Nothobranchius furzeri: one gene and its partners. The protein of the gene in region 3 interacts with the protein of the main gene of each other region in a biochemical or structural test. Links are inferred from orthologs where the notes say so. Each region holds a gene or a part of one and is shown on either strand. Other genes may lie near its edges. The genes, in order: polb, aptx and xrcc1.

Region 1 (3,660 bases), on a different chromosome or scaffold from region 3:
TCAAAATGCTATTATGTCCCATTCGAACATGTATTTTTCCCCCAAACAGATAAGCAAGCACAATATTGGCATGATAACGTCTACTACCACTTTCCCCTTTGTCTACTTAGCCAAATAAGAAATAAAAGTACAAGTAAGCTGTATTCAAGAGCACCATCGTCAAGAAAAACACGAGTCTCAGCACATACATTACATGCAATAGGTCATTCCAGTTAAAAAATGACTTATCTAGACATTTTGTTTTTTTGTAACAATAAAAACTAATAAAAATAAGGTCAAATAAATTATTGTTTACATGATAAAAAACAAGTTGAAGTTATGTTCACAAGGATGTTTGTGTGTAAAGTCAACATATAAATACAGCGTTTTTTTCACAAGAGTGATGACCATTTCAATTTAGGTAGGAATATTTCAACACAAATCATTAAAAACATTTTCACAGTTACTTTCTTCTCAGCGTCATGAAGGTATGGCAAAAGCATAACACTTGTTTCTAGTAAAATCTTGTTTGCAGGACAGCTGTAGCATTGTTTTACTCGCTGCGATCCTTCGGCTCTCTGTATTTGTACTGGATGTAGTCAAAGATGTCTTTCTCACTATCCACCAGCAGAGGCTCCCCAGCCACTCCTACAACAGATTAAAAGATACAAGAATGAACTGCTGTAAATAATGTAGACAAAGACAGACACCTCATTGGGCGTTGGAGAGTGTAACGGTGTCACCACCACATTGGATGGGTTCCCCATTCTCTAAACCCAAGAGTCAATGAAGAGTGAGCAACTACGCCTTTATTTTGTACAGCTTATGGTTGCATCAACCAACGCACTATTGAAAACAGATCACGTGGGACTTTTCTAGCCTATCTTTTGGGATTTTACATTTGAGATGTTTTATGTTTATTTTATGTAATTATTTTTAAACAACCTGGAACATAACGTTGGGAAGGCCAAGGAACTCAGGCGGAACAGAATGACCCCTGCCCCCCTGCACATCAATGGACAATCTGTGGACCAAATGGAGTCTTCGAAGTGTATTGGCATCCATATCTCTGCAGACCTCTCCTGGTCAGCTAAAAACTACCATCTTTTCAACCTACTGTCCTCTGGCAGGTGCTTCGGATCCATACAGGCCAGAACAAATGGAATCAGGGATAGCTTCTTTCCTAAAGCTATCACCATAATTAACTCAAACTTGCACAATAAATAAGCTGCACTGAAATATCATCAATTTGCCTGTCTGTTTCTGTCACCCAGTACTGTAGTGTGTATTTATATTTATATTAAGTGTATAGTTAAATTATTGTATAGTTTTTATAATGTGCAAAAAAGATATTTAACTATCATGCCATACCATATGTCTGACTTTGTGAAAAAGCATAATAAAAGTATTTTTATTTGCGTAAATACATTAAACAGTAGAAATAAATGCACTGGGGGTGAATGGAGACCCATCCAAGATGGCAGCCTGCCACGGCAGCACAAGTCCACAGGGTGTCTGTCTATATGATGTCTGGTTATTGAGAACTTGAACAAAGTTCTGAGTGTATCTAGCTTTGTTCGACTCACCAGTGACACCAAGTGGTCTTATGGTGTACTCATTAAGAGTGAAGCCCTTCTCCAGGGCATGAGTCCTCATATTTTTGTTAAAGATGTCACTTCCAGTAAAATACAGAACTCCACAGTAGTATTGGTCCTTGGGAATCAACCTTTTGAAATGAAATGAAAATCAATAACTAGCAAGAAAAAAACTATTTGAATAAAGACAGAATTACTCAATCGTTATTTTGAAGCAACCTAATGTATTAAAATCTGTAAGACTTCCATATTAACCTTATATCAATACGCCTGTGAAGATATTCTTCCTCATCATCATCACTAGGCTGCAGCTGACAGACGCCCTAGAGAAAAGGGGAAAAAACCACTAGATCCAGGACATTAAGAAAAGGGTCATGTACAACGGAGGGTTGGTGTGTTTCCTCAGCTGAGAACAAAACAGGCCTCACCATGAACTTGGTGTCTCCTTTGGACAAAGTGTCGGTGACGAAGCCGACAGACTCCAAATGCTCAACCACAGCATGAAGGAGTTTGGGCTGGAAAATGAGAAACGCTTAAATGAGAGAAAGCTGCATTTACTTTAGAAAACAATGAGCCACAGAATAAACGGTGGTCTGACCTGCTTCTCGGTTTGAGAAGTGTACTTTGGGTGGGTCAATAAAATATCAATATCACCACTCGATGCTGCACCTGGAAATTATTCACCTTAATTAAAAAGCTCAACTAAAACCTTAAATTAAAAACTAATTATTTTCTACTTGGGTTACCTCTCCTGTAGCTTCCACAAATTGTTCCGATGTATTCTGTATCGATTTCTGTCAACTCTCCAAGAATAAGAGTCTAAACAAAAACACAGGATCAGTGTAAGAGAACTAGGCATAAAAGCCTTAGTAGAAATATTCAAAATCACCTCCATCTTCTCCATTTCAGCTCGTGGGATTCTTTTTTCAAATTCTTCAAAGTACCTAAGTACCAAAGAAAACACCAGCACATTTATTATGTTAAAAATACTTTTAAAACCATCAAATAATAACAGAAAATGAAGGAAAGTGGTGGTGCTGGGGGATGAGCGTATTTTGGCTGAGCTTACTTGAGCCCAATCTTTTGATGATGATTTAGCTTGTGCTCTACCTTTTTCAAATCTGAAAATAAAAACCATGAGTATCATGAGAATCAATATATAAATAAAACCAAATTTGTACACAACAACTTCATGGGAAACAATGGAGATCAGAGTCTCAGAGTCATTGGATGTGAAATGAAATTAAACAAGAAACTGTTTTAGGGGAATTTGTTTCACAAACCATCTAAAGTCTTAACCCCTTCCTCGAAGAACTTCCTTGCGGCAGCCGGGCTGTGGACAGAAAACCAAGTGATGTGGTGATTGTGTATTTAATTGTAAACATCCCCCGACACTTTTTAACTGTAATAATAGTCACAATAACAATACAATACCCAATTCCAGTTACTCTGGTAAGGAAATTGATGGAAGAGCTGGTGTCATCGTTTCGGATCTGGTAGAAAATATTAAAGTAGCAAACATCAGTCAGTGTGATGCGTTTGAATCCAAACACATTTGGTTGTTTGCTCTTATATCCATTATGCAAATATCCAAACTTACCTTTTCAAGTTTCCTTAACTTGCCAGTTTGAAGAAACTCATCAATCTTTTCTGCTATTTTGGCTCCAACTCCATCCTGTAAAATTGTGAAAAGTTGAAGAAAATTAGTGATTTTCTTCAACTTTTCATGTATGTTAATACATTAAACAACGGTGACTTCTTAACAAATGCAGCAAGTGTACAAAACTAAAAATCACCAACCAGTTTCTTGGCCTCTTCTCCACTCTTAATCTTGTTGGGGTACTTGGCAATGGTGGAAGCTGCTTTCCTATTCGCCGTACAAAAGGAATCATATGTGATGTTTTAAAAACACACCAAAACTGAAGTAATGTTAACCCTTAAGGACCCGTGGTGACACAACTGATTTCAAACACCTGCAGAATTGCTTCTTGAGTCAATTATTCAAGTTTGAAAACCTAACTGACATTCTATCCATACATATATTGAAAATTATTCTACTTCTTTATTTTATTAAATAATTTTTTAC
Region 2 (2,436 bases), on a different chromosome or scaffold from region 3:
AATAGCTTATTTTTCTGGAACATGTTACAGTAGTCAGTGCAGGTTTAAATGATACAAATCCAAACATTCGAAACATAAACAATATGTAAACAAATCAAAGAAACACCACTTGTTTTCTCATATACTTGTTTTCTTCTTTATCAAAATGAAAATCTAAAACTCCAGTCCACACTTGACTTGAGCACTGTACAAGTCAACCTTAAGAAATATGTATTTAAAATAAATAGCCACTTTAAACAAATTACTAAAATAACTACTACACTATGTAATCAAATCCAAATGTTCAAGTATAAATGGCATTGAATAAGTAAACAAATCAATGACAAGGAACTAATTGTATATTTCTCTTCATCATCAACAAATAAGATGCTTCATCCAGCAACAGGGTGTCCGTGACACGGTTTAAATGCTGGCAGAGGACGCTGCGGCTGCAGCATATAGTGACTCGTTGCATTCTCCCTCAACCAAAAGTCCTCACGTCATGCATTTAAGCTAAAATGCTAATGCTAACTTACCTTGCACTGGCTGTAGAGACGTGAGTGATCGTCACACAGATGTGCCATTAGATTCAAAGTGCCTTCTGCAGACACTTGTTTCCTGCACCTTCTGCAAACGGGATAGCAGTCTTCTATTAACTGTCCCTCAGCGTTTTTCAGAAATCCAAAATATGCCCATACTTCCGATTTAGTCTTCTTTGAGGGCTGATGGATGTCCTGGGCGCTGCCGTCTCCTCCTTCGGCCGTTATTTCAGCTTCAAAGTTTTGGTTGCAAACTAAAAAGTGCGTGTGCGCGGGAACTTCAGCAGAAGCGACGGTGGCTGGTAAGGGTCACCGCGCCTAAACCGCGGCCACGGTAAACCCACCGAGATAATTTAGTTTTTTAAAAACTGGACTGTTATTTTTATTGTCAACTTTTTTTACCGTTTACAGCTATACCGGTTACCGTGACAACCCTAATCCAGACATTTGTATGATTCAGCTCTCAGAGATCACCGTGATCAACACGTTGTTAATAATTCTTGGAGAGAAATAGCTCGCACTGTCGGAAAAGACGAGGACGCGGTTAAAAAATGCTGGAATGCCATGTTGTAAACAACAGTACTTTCTACTTCTACTATGGTGTAGTGTTGGATGCATGCTGTAGAGCTCCATGCTGCCCCCTACAGTTTGGGAGAATATTGGCTCACCGCAGAGACAAGCCGCATGAACCATAAACGCTGCGAGTTGTGACGCGCGTTCCATCCGCGAGCCGCATCACCAAGCGGAAAGTAAATGCATCAAGCATAAACCAAGCTTAAAACTCTGGTAGGGGGTGACTTGCTCTTTAAATCAATATTCTACAATCTGTTTCAGTCACATTCACCTCCATGTGATCAGCCAGGACTTCGACTCTCCCTGTTTGAAGAACAAAAAACACTGGAACTCTTTTACAACCGACTACTTCATGCCGTCTCACGGTGAGAACAAATATTGAGTTTTTGGTAGCTCAACAGTCTTGAAAGACGAACCAAAACACACATCTGGGTTTTTCTTCCTACAGACGTCATCCGGATGCTTGAAACAGACGGGAGGGTGACGGTTAAAGAAGGCACCAGTGAGCTGTTGAAGCTGCATCTCCGCTGCCACGTGTGTCACAGAGAGATTCCCACCATACCTGCTCTGAAGGAGCACATCAAATCTCACTTTTCCAAATGACACATTGGTTTAAAGAACTTTACAAGTTCTTTGTTCCTATTTTGTAGAAAAATGTTTAGTTTCAGCAAAAACTAAAAATATTCAAATAACAAAAGTGTCGATTATTTCAGTTGAATTTTTAACAACGTGTCACATCAGGCATTAGGACAGTTAAGTCCAAGTTGTTTTTGTTACCATTATCGTTACATATGCTGCATTAAAGGCTATCTAAGAGCTAAATTCTGTTTTTTCTCTCGACATGAAGCATATTCAGGAATTTTTAAAAGATGGCTGCCTTATTTACAAAAGTTAATTAATAGTGAATCACAGAAAATTTGAGGAACTGCAAACCTAAGCCGGTGTATTGCTGCCCCCTGCTGGTTTTTGTAGGTTACATCATCCTAACGCGCGAAGCGTTCAAATTTGTGTCCCTAAACAGCAACTGTTATTTCAAGATGGCGCAAAGCTGGAGCGTCGACCACGGGTATGTGTCTAAAATGTAAAATTAAAAGCTAATAGGAAGACTTAGAATAAACGCTGGTGAGTAATCTTAATTAAAAAGAACAAGTCTGTGAATGGGTTACACAGAATATGATAATAAACACACTGAGCCCAGATTACATTCACAAATTCCACCTGTGTTAAAACGTTACATCTAATTCAGCAAGAAGTCATTTTTAACATACAGTGTCAATACTTTTCAGCTCTGCATTATCTCTGGTAAAATGATACACGTTAATTTTGATGATCAGTTGTTTTGCTG
Region 3 (3,660 bases):
ACGTTCAACCTTTATATAGCTTAACACACAAGTTCATCAACACACAAGCCACATCGACTGCACTGTGGCCCCAATCTTGAAACTAATTAACTCTAATAATGTCTGAGAGGTAAATCTGCTTTAAATTCCCCCTGGTCATCTGGGGAAAGGAGTTTACCGTCTAATTTAAATGCCAGGTGAGTCCTTGCTTCTCTGAAACATACATCAGCAGACATAACCTCGCTGGCAACATGGCTATTACCATAACCACCTGTGTTGTCGAAGAGGGAAGCATCTCCCTATGTAGGAGGTGTGTTGGTGTGTCAGCGCATGTTGTTCCGCCTTAATGATGCACCTCAGCACTTCCCTCCTGGCCTCACATTAACATAGAAATGAGAATCATGCACAAGTCCCTCCACAGTGATTACGTCCAGCCTCCATCTCCGCTCTTTTCCCTTCGACTACACCTACAGTATGAGATCTTCCAGCGTCATTGTTGTCCTCCCATCCATTTCCAAGAGCCTCATAAAGGTCAGGCCTTTAGTCCAATCCCTGGACTCCTGTTTCGTCCCCCAGCCCCTCTTCATTCATCCAGTCCTCTTCATCACCACGGCTGCTCCCTCTCAGTCTAGTTATGTGAGCTAATAGAATCGACCGCCACGTGTCGCAGCTACCTAATCTCAGCTCTTAGATGAGTTTATTACAGATATCATCATCTTTATGCATCGAGGGATTTGAGGTGAATGAAGGTTTTATTTCTGCTTTGATTAAAACCCTCACCTTGCTGATTAAAAGCATGTGTGGAGACTTAGTTTGTAGTTTCATTATGTGACATATTAATTATTCATTGCAACTTTTTATTTGTGGCATGCAGCCTTGAGGTTGTGAAGAGAACCTTGGATTAAAGTCTGTATGGAAAAACAAAAGGTAATAAAAGCTGAGCTTAAAGGGGAGATTAGTAGAATCAATGTTGATTTTTGGGAGATTGGTTTATTTGTTAGAGAAATAAAGGGTAATCGTGTTTTTCAAGGACCCGTATCGTGTTATTTTACACCTTCCAGAGCTAAGATAGGCACAATATGTCATATAATATTACCGTTGGCACTACTGACTCTGAGTAGTAGCAATTTGAATCGAAACCTTTACTTACTTACTTACTTAACCTTCTTTTCTGACCAAGTCCTCCAAACACACCCACATCACCCCGCTTCTCCTCCAGCTTCACTGGCTGCCAGTCAACTTCAGGGTTCATTTCAAGATCCTGGTTCTGGTCTATAGGGCCTTACATGGACAAGCGCCATCTTACATTGGTGACCTTCTTAGTCCGTACACCCCCAGCAGGTCCCTGAGGTCCAGTGATCAAAGCCTACTGGTTGTGCAGCACCAGGCTAAAGACCAAAGGTGACAGATCATTTGCTGCTGTGGCCCCCAGACTCTGGAACTCTCTCCCCCTGAGCCTGAGATCAGTGGACTCAGTGGTCTCCTTCAAAAAGCAGCTGAAGACTCACTTGTTCAACGTGGCTTTTGTATGACCTTCTTCACCACTCTCTTTATTCTGCTCTCCCCACCTATTCCACCTTCCTCAGGATCCACTGATTTCCCTCTTATCTATTCACTCTCTCTCTTTCTTAACATTTTTTAATCACAACTGTCTATTTTTTGCTAATTTTAAATATATTTTTAACCCTTTTCTAAATTATTTTTTATATTTCGACATTTTTTTGTTTTTGTGAAGCGCCTCGTGATTTTTATCTTCAGAGGCGCTATAGAAATGATATTTTCTTCTTCTTCTTAAAACCAAATTTTATGGTCAGTTTCACAAAACAATGAGTTTTGTTTTAAACCCAGTAACTCTTTCTAAAGTGTGAGGATGAAAACAGACAATTCTAGTGTAAAAGTTGATTACCTGGTTCGTCCACATCAGTCGAGCCACCGTACTCATCATCTTCATCCTTCTTTATTGGTGTCTTTTTAGGAGTCTCCTGCTTCTGTGGAGTCTAAACCATCCCAAACCCTGAGTTTTAAAACTGACAGATCTTTTTTCCCTCTTATTATATTTATCGTCTCACTTAGAAAACCAAATGGACCTTTGTTTTTATGTCCTCTTCACTCTGGTCATCCACCTCCATTTCGCTCTCCGAGCTCGACTCAGCTCCATCCATCAAATACCTGAAGGAATAAAGGAAACATTAAGTGTCAGGATGACAAAAGGCCAAAGAGCGAAAGAACAGCTGAACAATACATCTTAGGCTCCCTCTGGTTTACTTGTGTGACATGATTTAACGTGTAATCGGCTTTTGTCGGGCAGCGTTTGCATTTTGGAGTTTGGAAGCTGGCAGAAGGCGTGCTTAGGAATTTATTTTCATTCCAAAAATTCTGCAGTGATTCAGCAGTTCACTTCAGCTCAACGGTTCAGCTCAGTTCTTGAGAAAGCTTCAGAACGGCCATCAGAAGCAAAACCTCTCTGACCCATCAAAGCTTTTGACATGTCGTCAAAATCTTTTTGCACCTGCAAAGCTGATACAGCAAACAGTTCATGCAGAACAAGCTGATATTGTTTCAACTCCTTAAGAGTCCGTCTGACGCGCGGTTCCATCCAACTGTCGTGACCAGAGACATCTCTGGACTGGAGAAGTCGGTGCTGTGATCAATCTACTGGACCTGGGTGCCAGAGGTCATCCGACCTTTCTGACCTTAGGATCCATGAAGATGGTCTCCGAGAACGGGTGAAGTAGAAACACAGATAGCATCTGATGCCTTTTGCTAATAATCAACTTCATAGCTTAACGCAAACCAAATTCTTTACACCAAGAACTCAGCTTTCCTAAATACGGAAGTTCTGATAACATCACATTCACACATAGGCACCATACACTACATCTACTCCATCTAGATTCATCCATTCACAGTAAATATTAGTTAACTTGTCATGTTTTAATTGTTTGTGAATTAAATTCTTACTTTTATAAACCTGACTCTTTTCTGAATCAAAACGAAGTGTTTACAATCCCTGAATAAAACAAAGAATCCTAGAATCTTCTGATTAAACACCAAGACCAAGCAGGTTGATATTCTATACCAGGGATTCCCGAAGTGTGGTGTGCGCACCCCTGGGGGTGCGCGAGCTGCCGCTAGGGGGTGCGCGGGGTGAAAAGTGTAATGGCTGCGGAGCTCAGAGAAGTCTGTCATATGTCACCATTAGTGTAGAAACTCATTTGTGGGTGGGCCAAAGAAAAAGTAAGTGGGCCCAATAAATGTAATTGAAAACAAGTATATTTTTGCGCGCGTGTCCTCCACATGTGCCCTAGCTTCATAATAACAATGCGTCGAGCTTCAGCACTCTGGCCTGCGCACGCCGATATGTTCCGTATTTGATCATTTTTAACGGTGTTGGAGAAATCTGAAGGTGATGAGTCATTCTGGCAGATTGTAATTAACACCTGTCTCATGCAGGTGTTCTGACATTGTAAACCTCACACACAGAACATTGTGGATGTAACAAAATAACAAGAAATGATTCCCATTCAGGCTATTGACAGCGCGCTGAAGATCTGAAGTTCAGAGTGCGTCTGTCAGAGGTCAGACGCGTTCCGGCTGAACCACGGCTCACGGGTGCACATGTGAGCACATCTGGGCAGGGCAGAAGTCATTTTACAACATTGGTTTAAATAGCGCGAGACG

The links.
Region 1: the proteins of xrcc1 (region 3) and polb form a complex in vitro, tested with the Homo sapiens proteins (5 studies listed by BioGRID, with this or other methods). The link is inferred for Nothobranchius furzeri from reciprocal best matches to the Homo sapiens genes XRCC1 and POLB.
Region 2: the proteins of xrcc1 (region 3) and aptx form a complex in vitro, tested with the Homo sapiens proteins (2 studies listed by BioGRID). The link is inferred for Nothobranchius furzeri from reciprocal best matches to the Homo sapiens genes XRCC1 and APTX.

Annotation. Positions count from the first base shown.
Region 1 is NC_091757.1:55,610,384-55,614,043, forward strand, and holds part of polb (DNA polymerase beta), read right to left. Parts: intron 3,442-3,660; coding exon 3,375-3,441; intron 3,295-3,374; coding exon 3,175-3,294; intron 3,068-3,174; coding exon 3,009-3,067; intron 2,908-3,008; coding exon 2,858-2,907; intron 2,696-2,857; coding exon 2,644-2,695; intron 2,519-2,643; coding exon 2,464-2,518; intron 2,394-2,463; coding exon 2,321-2,393; intron 2,244-2,320; coding exon 2,173-2,243; intron 2,090-2,172; coding exon 2,003-2,089; intron 1,898-2,002; coding exon 1,830-1,897; intron 1,706-1,829; coding exon 1,566-1,705; intron 628-1,565; coding exon 533-627; 3' UTR 1-532.
Region 2 is NC_091746.1:79,989,279-79,991,714, reverse strand, and holds the end of aptx (aprataxin), read left to right. Parts: intron 1-1,352; coding exon 1,353-1,456; intron 1,457-1,539; coding exon 1,540-1,694; 3' UTR 1,695-1,913; downstream 1,914-2,436. UniProt on the Homo sapiens protein: DNA-binding protein involved in single-strand DNA break repair, double-strand DNA break repair and base excision repair.
Region 3 is NC_091745.1:68,550,112-68,553,771, forward strand, and holds part of xrcc1 (DNA repair protein XRCC1), read right to left. Parts: intron 2,149-3,660; coding exon 2,067-2,148; intron 1,977-2,066; coding exon 1,886-1,976; intron 1-1,885. UniProt on the Homo sapiens protein: Scaffold protein involved in DNA single-strand break repair by mediating the assembly of DNA break repair protein complexes. Negatively regulates ADP-ribosyltransferase activity of PARP1 during base-excision repair in order to prevent excessive PARP1 activity.